Linked DNA regions of Arabidopsis thaliana. The protein of the gene in region 3 interacts with the protein of the main gene of each other region in a pairwise test. Each region holds a gene or a part of one and is shown on either strand. Other genes may lie near its edges.

Region 1 (4,547 bases), on a different chromosome or scaffold from region 3:
TCATCTTGTATTTGAATTTTGCACAATATATAATGTGATGATTCTATGTTTGTTTGTAAACTTATGTGCAAATGGGCGATAACTAAACGTTCGTAAAATAGTTACATGTACTAATTAATCGAAGCACATAAATATTATATATATATATATGTATATATATGAAACGATTCATTGATTTTAAGTATTTAATTTATTTTTTAAGATTTTAGTTGTCTTAACCTCGTACGAAGAAGAAGGATATATACTATTTAACTCGTGGAGATGATGAGGTTCGGATATTTTTCCTTAAGACCACAAGACACTGACACGCCGACTGATCGATAAAAAAAGTTAAGGCCTACAATACAAAAGAGTAGCAGATTCCCTTACACGTGTTTCATTTATGATCTGTTAATTAACTCCATTGAGCTTCAATATCTCATTAGCCGAAAATTAACTTGACGTTTTCCATTGAACTGTCGAAAAAATTTGTAGAAAAAGTGAAATGTCCCCTATTTAACTTCCAAGTTTAAAACCTAAAATTAATTAGTTACCGTTTTGATGAATAACGTTGAAAGAATCGTCAACATATCAAATGATGCAGATACAACAAGGGACAAAAACATCAAAAAATTGATTAAAAATAATCATTCAGATATTAGCAATTAAACTGTAAGTAAATGATTGCATATATATATATGAATGAATACATATATATGTATCAAACTGTAAGTAAATAATACATACATATATATATATATATATAGGAAAATATCTCATTTTTCAATCATTTTCAGAGGTAAACATTTTTAAAGACAATTTTACCTAACCCAACATCTTACTATATTTAACCAGCTCTGCGAGAGCTTCAAAACAATGATGAATTTTCTGCCCCTTTTCATTGACCAAATAAAAGTTCACAAATTTGTAAAACCAATCAGCATTAATTTCGCACGTAGTTTACTTCGTCCGATTTTAGATCAAGTAGACATTTTAACCAAACATATTGAATCACGGTTCAATCAAGATACATGGTTGCGAGTATAATATATCAATCCTTCACCGCATTAGAAAACCAAATTTTCTATTTAATTTAGCGTGTTCTTTTAATGAACGCAGCGTCAGCGACAACAAAGAAGAAAAACAGATCTGCGGCGAGAAAAAATACATTGATTAGAGAAGAACTGCCGCAAAAGATGTACGATGATGAAGATTGACGTGACGCTGCTTAATTTCAGCGATTCATTTGATGCAATTGCAATTCATCGGCTATCATCGGCGACTCATCCGAAATTGTTATTTTCAAGCTTTAATGTCGTTTTACTTACCTACTACTTCTCATGACACGTCGTTTCAGTCCGCTATTGCCGCTGGCGCAGCATCAAATAAAAGAACACGCTAGGATAGCTTGAAAAGGGTACAATAACTAGTTATAGAAGAACATGAGCCATAACATTTGGAAACAAAATGAGTTAGTTTGAATTTGAAACATCGCGCTCTATGTAAAAAAAGCAAAAAAGAAAAGAAAAGAGTCCTAATAATTAAAAAGAGAAAATAAAAGGAATTTTCAATGGTCCGACTGTTACAAGTAGATTTCCATTTTTAGGAATCTAGCTATAACGATGAAGACAGAGTTATCATTTTGTTCCATCAAATATATGACGATATTTATATTTAATTTCTTCAACAACAAATATCTCATTTGTTGGTGCCACTTTCACATACTTAGGACGACTAATAATTAATTAAAAAGGATTTATGTAATAACGCACCATATTAACCTGTAACAAGAAGAATTGAAAGTAATACAAGTTTATATATATAGCAACACATTTATCGTGTACGATACTTTATTCCTTTTATCTATTCTTGAAAAAAAGTTACCAATTCTTGAGAAGAAGAAGAAATCAGAATCAAGAGAAGGAGAGAGAAAGATGGGAAGAGGGAGAGTGGAGATGAAGAGGATAGAGAACAAGATTAATAGACAAGTGACCTTCTCAAAAAGAAGAAACGGTTTGCTGAAGAAAGCTTATGAGCTTTCTGTTCTTTGCGATGCCGAAGTTGCTCTCATCATCTTCTCAAGCCGTGGCAAGCTCTACGAGTTTGGTAGTGTTGGGTATATATATCTTTGCTCCTTTGAACCAACTTTTGTGCTATATATATTAAGATTCATCCAATAAAGCTATGTTTTTTATATGAAAATTGATTAATAAATGGGTTCATTTGCTACTTGTTACATCGTACGATTCAAGAGTCGGATCATGTTTTGATCTTGTGGTTATTCTTAATGGTTGTATCGTTTATCCTGTGGTAATTAGGGTTCATCGTTATATCGTGTCTCCCTCTTGGATCCTTTATCATAAGCTAATAGGTCCTTCCGTACGTTATAATTTGTTGATTTCCCATTCATGAATTCCTTTGATTCTTTAATCTTACAGATGACAGGTTTCAAATGGGTTTAATTCTAGCTTTAAAAAAAAAAAAAACAAACAAACTAGGGTTTTCCCTTTTAGATCAGTGTGTAAGATATATAACTTGAGTTCTTGTCGTAAGAAGAATCTTTATTTGTTGAATCGAGCTAATGATCTCCCATTTTTGTTTTAATTGAATTTGTAGAATTGAAAGCACAATCGAACGGTATAATCGTTGTTACAACTGCTCTCTAAGCAATAATAAGCCTGAAGAGACTACACAGGCAAGTGTGTGTACGTACTTTGAATATATTTACAATTATTGTTTCTGATGATAATGATTCTAGCTAACTCTATTTTCTCAAATTCTCATGTTACTATATATATGCATTTCATATAATCTATATGGTGCAGAGTTGGTGTCAGGAGGTGACAAAGCTTAAATCCAAATACGAATCTCTTGTTCGTACTAACAGGTCTAGTAATTAAGAGTTTTCTATAACCCCTTGAAATTAAATCGTTATTGTCATCTTCCATTATATATGTATAGTTACAAATCTATTGTTATGGGTGTTGATAATTGCTAATTATAAAAGGAATTTGCTTGGAGAAGATCTTGGAGAAATGGGTGTGAAGGAACTGCAAGCGCTCGAGAGGCAGCTCGAAGCCGCTCTTACCGCGACTCGACAGCGCAAGGTCACATGATCTAGACTGGTCTTGTTTCATTAAAAATATATTCATAACTAAAACATTCAACTAAAATATGCAGACACAAGTTATGATGGAAGAAATGGAAGACCTTAGGAAAAAGGCAAGTTATATAAAAATGTTTCATACCAAACTGCAAAACATATATGCATATCAATCAATCTATGTTTGAAATGGCAGGAGAGGCAACTAGGAGACATAAACAAACAACTCAAGATTAAGGTTTTTATTTCTAGACATCGCAAAATTATATTATAACTTCTCATATAATTAATTATGACATTTGGATCTTAACTAAACATAAATTTTCAATAGTTTGAAACGGAAGGCCATGCTTTCAAAACCTTTCAAGACTTATGGGCAAACTCGGCGGCATCGGTGGCCGGGGATCCAAACAATTCTGAATTTCCGGTAGAGCCTTCTCATCCTAATGTATTGGATTGCAACACCGAACCCTTTTTACAAATAGGGTAAGAATATACCATTTTTCCCGGCCCTTACAAATAAATGGATAGAAATAAGATATGATTATAAGACTTGTTTGGTATTTGGATTAGGTTTCAACAACATTACTACGTGCAAGGTGAAGGGTCTTCGGTATCAAAGAGTAACGTGGCAGGTGAGACTAATTTCGTCCAAGGTTGGGTTCTTTGACTCTCTGTTGATTAGACCACGATGCCACGGTCAGGCCAATTTCAGCTCTCTACAGTTGTTCTTTTTTCAAATTAGATTTCTGGGTTTTTTTTTCCTATAAGAAAAACTTTTGCACTAGATGTTTGTCATTTAATTTCCAGCTCGTGTGAATCTATATTCGCATGTATGTGCTTTGAAGAATTTCTCCTCTTACTCCTACTTGATCTAAAACATTATTTTTGTTTTGGTTTTACCAACATTTTCCAAATGAAATAAACTTTAATAATTGTTCTAAAATCAATTAAATGAATAGATTTATTTGGCATGAATACTATTAAATCTCAGACATATATTTATGAATGCTGAATTGTGAATAGTAGGAACAAATAATAAATCGTGCGACGTCGAATCAATTGGGTGACGAATAATCAAAGGAGGATTCAGCTCAACTACGCAAGTAGGAGTAATGAACTTCCGAAACAATTGGGTGAGTAAATGAAATCAACCTGTAACTAAAAAAATGAACGAATAATAAAATGCCACGTAGTTGACCTTGGAAAAAGCGCAATGATATGAAGCCAGGTAGGACCCACATTGCTGTTTCTTGATTTGACTTTTGGAAGAGAAGAGCTCCTCTTTCTTTAGCAAACTTTACTGTTGTTGATATATGTCTTTTCCATAAAGTCTTCATATTTATTGAGGTTTTTTTTTTTTTTTTACATACTAGAATTTAAGTTTTTAATACTCTCTTATATTTATGGGCTGTTATCGCAAAGTAGGCCCTTTTATAAGTGGGCCATTACAAAATAAATTCAT
Region 2 (4,742 bases), on a different chromosome or scaffold from region 3:
ACTCCTCCTCCTTCACCATTCTTATTAGCATCCTCTGCTTTCAGATTCTTACTATGCTTCGAACCGTTCTTTCTCGAACCCGAAGTACTTCCTTCATCTAATGATTTGCTCGACGATGATCCTCCTTTGAATGATGTCCTAATCTTATTTACCCAATACCCTGCTGGTTTCCCCATTTTCTTAATTCTTGTTTTTCTTCTCTCTGTTCTTTGAGGTTTTAGTTGTGTTTTAAATACTGTTATGTTTGTTTGGTTTTTGGTTGGAGCCATTTCTTGAACGTGCTTGCCATGAAAATAAAATTAAAATAACATTTTGGACTTGTTCATTATAATCCAACCTGGCAAAAATTATTTAGTCGTTTTAATTATCAACATCACAATCTTAATACAAATGCAGAGCACTACTTGTTTCAGAATCCAATTCTTGAGACATGTTCTAATCCGGAGAACTTTTGTCATAATCTAACAAATTCATATGATGTTCAAAAATAAAACAAAAATAAGCTCCCAAAACAATATTTTATATTTCAAGAGAGCCAAAAAACAAAGAACAAAAAAGTAATAATCTGGTGTTTGACATTAGAGCCTTGATTATATAACAAAGTTTTGTAATAATGAACTATGTTTCTCTGGCAAAAATCAAATGACACAAGCAATGATCTTTGATCTATAAAACACACATATGTGTACATATATAGATATGTATTGTTTTCAGACCATCCATCCAGGGAAGAATCCATTAACATTCTGTGATGTTGTTGCAGAGTTGGTTGCATTTGCAGGATTGTGATTGTAATGACTGCTAATTATATCAAAACAATAAAGAAGCACAAACAAATGTTAAGTATTTCTGATTAGGTAAAATAATTCAAGGGTCTTGACTATTTGTTTGTAGATACCTCATTTGCAATGCTACATTGCCTTGTAGAGGCTTGAAGAAACCTGCTTCCTGAATTGGAGGGTTTGATTGATAAGAGCTCATGCCTTGTTGCTGTTGTTGATGTTGTTGTTGTTGTTCTGCAGCAGAACTTCCCCAAAACGATTGAGTAAGTGCTGCATCACTGTCCTCCAACTGAGAAAGAAAGAATAGGAAGATTTCAAATGACAAATGGTTTCAGTTTCTTGCGGTAAAAGATTCCGATAGCTACCTTTCTCCTAAGATCTCTATTGGTTTCCAATAACATTTCCTCCTGTAAATTGAGAAAATGAGAGCTTGTTGTATTTGGATATTGTGCAACTTTTATTATATAAAGTATGTACCTTAGTTTTGAGGTCAGATAGTTGATCAAGCATAGACCGAGCCTGGCAATGAAAACGAAACAACGATTTAGGATGAAAGATTCGAAACAAAATTTGTCGATTTTGTAAGCTTAGAAATATACCTTGGTAGATCTTATTTGTCTTAGTGATGCATCTACTTGGCGTTCGAGATGCTCAAGCTCATTCACATCCATCTCGGATAGCTCTTCACCTAGCAAATGCCTAAAAAGAAGAAACATTTAGTAACAAGAGCATATATAGTTACATTTAGATGGACTAGGATATATAAGTACCTTTGTGAATGTTGAAGGATCTCAACTCTTGATTTAAGCTTCAAGTAGTCTTGATACTTATCCTGCCAATTTAAAATAAAATTAAGGACAACTTTGAGGTCAGTCTTTGATTGAAAGAGAAGATATGTACCTGCAAGTCTTTAGCTGATTGATTTGGATCCATTGTTGCATAACTATGTTTTCTATACTTATCAACCGTCCTCGCCATACCACTTTTCATAAAAACAAATGATCATTTTAACTTTTAACATATATTGATAAACCAAACTTTAAATTTCATTATGAGAATAATATAGAAAAAAAACCTTAAAAGCATCTCCATGTAAAAACATCAAGAACATCAAAATGGGTATCAATCTCATGATGTTTGTGCAAGAAAAATAAAATAAATTTATGTGGAAATGATAAGTAGCTAGTGAAATTGAGTATCATCACAGTTGTCTCTTTATAACTTTAATAAGATCATAAGTAGTACTTGAGAGAGATACTAACTTAAAGAAGTAGTCAAAGTATTTTTTATATCTTTTACAGCTTTGTGTATATATCCAGAGGTCAATTCTTAGTCTCTTTGGAAACTCTGATCAATCCTTTGGAAACAATATCAACAACACTCAATCTCATGTGTAAAAGCTTTAACTATATTTATATATGCTCTATAGCTTCTACACATATCTACTGTACTTTTTTCAGCCATAGTCTCTACTCTCTAGCTTTAATCATCATCTAGAGCAACTTAGACGCTTTGTACGTACTTTGATCATCGTTCACTTAATCTCACTCTTTACGAGCCAGATTTATGCGTATGAACTCACAAAATAAATAAACCGTAGTTAATCAACTAATTAATTGTAACTAAATCAAGAAAGACAACAAAGTTTTCATATCCTTTATAATCCTTAAGAATCAAAACCCTAACATGGATCAAAATATAGAAACTTTGAGGGAAAAAGTAGATATATCAAAGATTAAAGAGTTTTCACCTAGGGCTGCTGCAGAATTCGTAGAGCTTGCCACGGTTAGAGAAAATGAGAAGAGCAATCTCAGCATCACAAAGGACAGAAAGCTCATAAGCCTTCTTGAGCAAACCATTTCTTCTCTTTGCAAAAGTAACTTGTCTATTGATCTTGTTCTCTATCCTCTTCAGCTCAACTTTCCCTCTTCCCATCCTCTCTTTTTCTCTCTTCTCTCACCAAGAAACCAAAACCCAACTGAAAACTCTCCTCCTTTTTATCACTAAACCAACAAGTAATGAAAAAGAACCTTTATACACACACACATCTATATCTAGATAAAGTGTATAAGTAAATGTGTAGAGTGTATATATAGATCTTGTCTCAAAAGGATTCTGGTTCTTAATCTAGGGCATGAATTGGTTTCCGGTGACTAGGTGGTGGTGGTGGAGGAGGAGATTGTGGTAGTGGTGGTGGTGGGCCAACTGTGTTCAGGTTCTTCTTTTGTTGAACTGATTTTTAAGAGAATATAGCTTTGTGTTGGTTTTGCAGAGATGCTAAGCCATTCTTGGCCAAATAAATGCTTCCAAACTTATATCCAATCTTATCAACTTTCCTTTTTTAAAAATTAATATAAAATATTATAAATTCTAAAAAGTATTTTTGTGTAGTTACATTATTTTAGTCTTACTTCATCAGGGAATATATATTATTATTAATTTTCTTTTACACTTTTGTTTTTGCAGAAAATAAAAATTGATTCCTAGTACTTTTCTAAGGAGAGTTAAGATCTTTTTTTCTCTCTCTCTATAGTCCAAACAAAATGCTTCAACTTTTCTCTTTCACTCTCCTCCATTGGATTTTTTAAAGATAATATTTACACCATAATATATAAATAGATTGCTTTCTTTCATCAGATCTAGTCCATAGTTTAATAATATGCTCAAAAAAGAAATAAGAAAAAGATTCTAAATATAACCTATAAAGATGCCTTAAATAGAGCATATTCACAAGTCCAAGTCCTATCTAATATCTGGTTATGTATTGTTCATGAAATGAAAGAAGTGCAAATAAAGTTTTGTTGTTTTTTCAGGTATTGACACGTTTAGATTATGTAGATAACACTTATAATGTATATTGTGTGTGTTTGTGAATAAAAGTAAGAAAATGATAGGCTTCTAAAAGATATGTTTTTTTCTGCTTATGCTTTGCTTCTCTTGCCGACAAGTTCTTTCGTATGACAGCTACTTCACGATCGTTTTAATGCATAAAACGGATCTATACGGTTACAAACAAATTATGTCACTCTGAAATGGTTAATCTGATATGGTACTATTTACTATTTAAAGAGAAAATTTATTTACAAAGGTTTTTACGTCTCACATGCACTATGTCTTTTTATATATATATGGTGAAATTTAGATATTGAAATATATCATGTTTTTGTTTTCTTTCCAATTTCTGAAAATTTAGTCACGTTCTTGTTCAATACTATAAAATCAGTCCAATCATGTTTTTGACACTAATATAGATGTGTAAGAATATGCAATCTAGCATTTATTAGAGGGTTTCGTGTTTAGGTTCTCTTCTTAAGAAGACTGATGTATTTTACTAGTTAATCGATTTTCATAAAATACAGTAGAACTCACATAACGACTCTAGATTTATTTATAACAATAACTCGTACATGCTTGACACAAAAATTGCAGATTGATCTTGGCAAGAAAAAGGAAAATTGTTTATGAACATTTAAGCTCTCAAAGCCTTAGTGTTTTCAACTTTTTTTTTCACTTTAAAGGTTGGTAATTGTTTGACAGGTTAATTTTTTAGGATGCTTCTTGTCAGGTTAATTTGTTTTTCCTCACTTCTTCTCATGGCATCTTATACTATCTACATCATGATGATGATGGTTGTTGTTAATTTACTCATGTGATATGTCTCACACAACTTTTTTTTTAACTTTGCTTGCTGACTCATATTTCACTTGGTACCTTAGTTATTTTGTTCAACTTCTATAGATCGATGGAATATTAGTTTTTTTCTTTCTTTCTTTTGGGTACTATAAATCTTGTTGATGGAAACTTGATGTATATGCGCATGTCTTATCCAGATTATCATGTAAAATGATCCTTATCTTCTACGCACTTGCTATCCTCCACCATTCTTTTATGGTTCCAAGTTGTGACCTTACAACATGCAACATATAGATTGATGCTTTAGGAAACATCTAAAAAGAATAA
Region 3 (3,251 bases):
CTTGCCTTTTATTTTAGTTTCATTATTTTATCATGTTGATTTTTCAAATTTTCAACACTAAACAAGCTACAGTTTGTATTGTTAATCTTTTGGGTTTGCTGAGACGTGTGTTCATTATTTATGTTCATGTTTTTACTTCTTTAGTGTGTTCATTTGCTCGCTATATAGGTAGGTGTGGGAAGTAAATAAATTATGGATTGAGAAAGAGATATACAGAGTATTGATGTTTTTGCGAATAATATATCCAAAGTAAGATTTTCTATGAAACAAAATATATTTGATTTTAGCAGATCTATTTAGTTATGTATTTTAAGAACAAAAAACAAAGTAAAAACAAATTTATGACCAAACTTCTTCAAATATAATTGAAATATCCGGCTCTACGGCGCAGAAATACATTACCCAATACATAAAAATATAACTGACTTAAAGGTAAAACCTTCAACTCTTACAACAATTAACTGAAAAGAAAAGACATTATTAGAGATTGGTCTTTTGAAATGGACAAAACACAAATGCAAACTACTGAAACACATCACACAACGGTGGTGTTGGTGGTGGTGGTGGTGGTGGCGTTGTTGGAAGGCATGTGACCGGTGGTAGTAAGACCAACGGTTGGTGGTTGGTGGTAGTTGTAGTAGTTTCCGTTCATGAAAGGGATGTGTGCATGCTCTGCAGCATAACCCACTTGTTCATAAGGATATTCCATCAACATCTCCATGAATGGATCATCTTGAAACGGATACTGATGATTTGGATCCAAACTGAGATTATCATAGATTCCATGTTGGATCTGATGATTAAAATCCACAGGAGCTTGGTATTGAATATTATCACTAAAAGCAGTAGGGATATAGGGCTGAATCGGCTCATACTGATTCTGAGCCATAGGAGGACCGGCACCCGCAACAGCAAGAGGAGCCGCACCCACACCCGCAACAGCAAGAGGACTCGCACCCGCCCCCGCAACAGCAAGAGGAGCCGCACCCGCACCCGCAACAACAAGAGGAGCAGCACCCGCACCCGCACCCGCACCCGCAACTGAAGTATGAAGCGGAGGAGGAAAGGAAGAAGAAGACGCACCATTGTTTGTAAGGAGCATGACACTTGAATTAAGCTGATTGATATAGTGATCAATATAAAGACTTAAATCTTGAAGGTCCCTTGCACCATACTGATGCTCACTCATCTTACCTTCAACACAATCAAACATAAATTGCCTAAGCTGAGATTCTCGGTTTTCACGACGTAGACTCTCCAGTTTCTTTGTTTCTTTGGTAATTTTGTCCTGCAAGTAGGTCTCATGACTCATCATCAGCTTGGATTGTTCTGTCGCCGGCCTCTCCATAAACATGGAAACCGCCTCTTGAACACCTTCGGTTGACGGCCACACCACTGGATTCTCGTACGGACTGGAGATTACCGCACATGCTTTGACGCCGCAGAGAGTTGTTAGCTCATGGAGTTTGTTCGTTATCCCTCCCTTCCTCTTCCTGAATGTGGTTCTCCTTGAGGTCTTATTAGCTATGAGTGATAACTTAATTTTCGACCTCATTATCTTTGTTTTTCTTTTCTTTGGTGTGTGTTTTGTTTACTTTCTTGGCCCAAGACTGTCTTGTTTATATAGAAATGAAAATTGTGCTTTTACACAGTACGTGGCTTTTCACGTTGCTGGACTCATTAGATTTGTTTTGTGTTTACTGTCTCATTAATTGACGAGGCCACTAATTAAAGCTATGTCTAAGAATAGATTTTCTTTTCTTTTTACTAAGAATAGTTTATCTTCCTATATTACTCTCACTTTTCTTTTAAGAGTAATTTAAAGTTTTGTTTATAAACTATGAAATTTAGTAATAGTTTGAAGTGTTTTTTTTTCTTCTTTTTAAATAGAGTACTCCATCTTCAATTTACATGTAAAATCATGAATATATACAAGCTCAAAAGAGTTGTTTATTTATAGAAAAAAAATGAAAACAATATAACGTGAGTCTTACGAAATATTTAGAAAGCACGAAAGTTTTTGAAAACAATGTAACATGAATCTCACGAAATATGTGTTCTATTTCTAAGAAAATCTTTAAACTACCTATATACATTAAAGGAGAACATACCAAGAAGTTTGTAAACCAATATAATAAGATAATAAAATATCATTAAAATTTATATTAATTAATTTAGTAAAAATATTTGATACTTACAATAATAACAAATGAAAATATATAATAGTAGAGTATTAGAGAAAAATATATTTTTTTAAATCTCAGATTTGGTTATATGAACTTTTTTAATAAATATATTAAAAGAACATTTGTCATGGCCTGCAGGTCCACCTGATTTTTTTTAATCATTAAGTTGATTCTAATTAAAAGGAAATTTGGATAAAATAACTGTTTTATACATTAATAGATGGATTTCTTTCCTCTTTTGGCTCAGTAATAAATTAGTTTAGAGATAATTTGTTAAATCATGCATATATTATACCTTTTGGAGAATACTTTTTCTTTTATTGGGTTAGAATATTTCATTGCATTGCCAGCTAATTATAAGCTGTAAATAGGGAAATTAAAGATTTTAGACTACGTATAGAAAACTTCCAGTTGTTTTTACATACCCAAAGAAATATCTAAACTTTAAAGTATTAATATTTAAATATAGTTTAATTATATATTAATTTTTGGTTTAAAAGCAAAAAATGAACCAATTAAAAAAAGACAAGTGTAATATACCCAAAGTTCAAGTTAATATACCAAAAGTTCTTATTTAAGAACCTTTCTCTTATTTCTCTCATACTTTTTTTGTGTGGTATGATTATAATGAGAGAGAATCCAAAAAAAATGGAGGTCTAACAATAACCAAAAAATAAGAAAAACAAGAATGCACATCGTTAATTAGACTTTGTTTGACTGGTTCTCTTCTTATCAATTACATTTACAAAATGTAGAAATTTCTCTAAAATAAATAGCATATTTATTGATTTTTGATTAAATGTTTTCAAATAGTTATAAAAATACTATAGAGTAGAAGATATTACATGAGAGAATGGTAAATAATTCAATCCAGTAGTAGTTTAATTTCCATTCTCTTTAAATGCTAAATTTTATTTCAAGCTCACCGTATATTTTTGGCTCAGATAATAAATAACTTTCATCTGCCATAAAACACTAATTTTCATGTTTATTTATATGTTTAGTTAGGGGCGACTTAAGCTACTTATAGTTATAGGTCATGTTCAAAAGTTTAACTATAGATAT

What was found. The genes of interacting proteins can lie anywhere in the genome.
Region 1: the proteins of AGL86 (region 3) and AGL6 interact in a two-hybrid assay, tested with the Arabidopsis thaliana proteins (one large-scale study listed by BioGRID).
Region 2: the proteins of AGL86 (region 3) and SEP4 interact in a two-hybrid assay, tested with the Arabidopsis thaliana proteins (one large-scale study listed by BioGRID).

What each region holds. Positions count from the first base shown.
Region 1 is NC_003071.7:18,802,540-18,807,086, forward strand, and holds AGL6 (AGAMOUS-like 6), read left to right. Parts: upstream 1-1,650; 5' UTR 1,651-1,913; coding exon 1,914-2,095; intron 2,096-2,595; coding exon 2,596-2,674; intron 2,675-2,804; coding exon 2,805-2,866; intron 2,867-2,986; coding exon 2,987-3,086; intron 3,087-3,159; coding exon 3,160-3,201; intron 3,202-3,278; coding exon 3,279-3,320; intron 3,321-3,413; coding exon 3,414-3,568; intron 3,569-3,655; coding exon 3,656-3,752; 3' UTR 3,753-4,047; downstream 4,048-4,547. UniProt on the Arabidopsis thaliana protein: Probable transcription factor. Forms a heterodimer via the K-box domain with AG, that could be involved in genes regulation during floral meristem development.
Region 2 is NC_003071.7:1,127,597-1,132,338, reverse strand, and holds SEP4 (K-box region and MADS-box transcription factor family protein), read right to left. Parts: upstream 3,072-4,742; 5' UTR 2,718-3,071; coding exon 2,533-2,717; intron 1,765-2,532; coding exon 1,683-1,764; intron 1,615-1,682; coding exon 1,553-1,614; intron 1,482-1,552; coding exon 1,382-1,481; intron 1,302-1,381; coding exon 1,260-1,301; intron 1,190-1,259; coding exon 1,148-1,189; coding exon of another isoform or gene 1,097-1,147; exon of another isoform or gene 1,072-1,096; coding exon 899-1,071; intron 802-898; coding exon 711-801; 3' UTR 501-710; downstream 1-500. Other genes in the region: MRH6 (Adenine nucleotide alpha hydrolases-like superfamily protein), read right to left, coding at 1-176. UniProt on the Arabidopsis thaliana protein: Probable transcription factor that binds specifically to the CArG box DNA sequence 5'-CC (A/T)6 GG-3'. Plays an important role in the determination of flower meristem identity. Involved in the specification of sepal identity.
Region 3 is NC_003070.9:11,317,993-11,321,243, forward strand, and holds AGL86 (AGAMOUS-like 86), read right to left. Parts: upstream 1,556-3,251; coding exon 536-1,555; downstream 1-535. UniProt on the Arabidopsis thaliana protein: Probable transcription factor.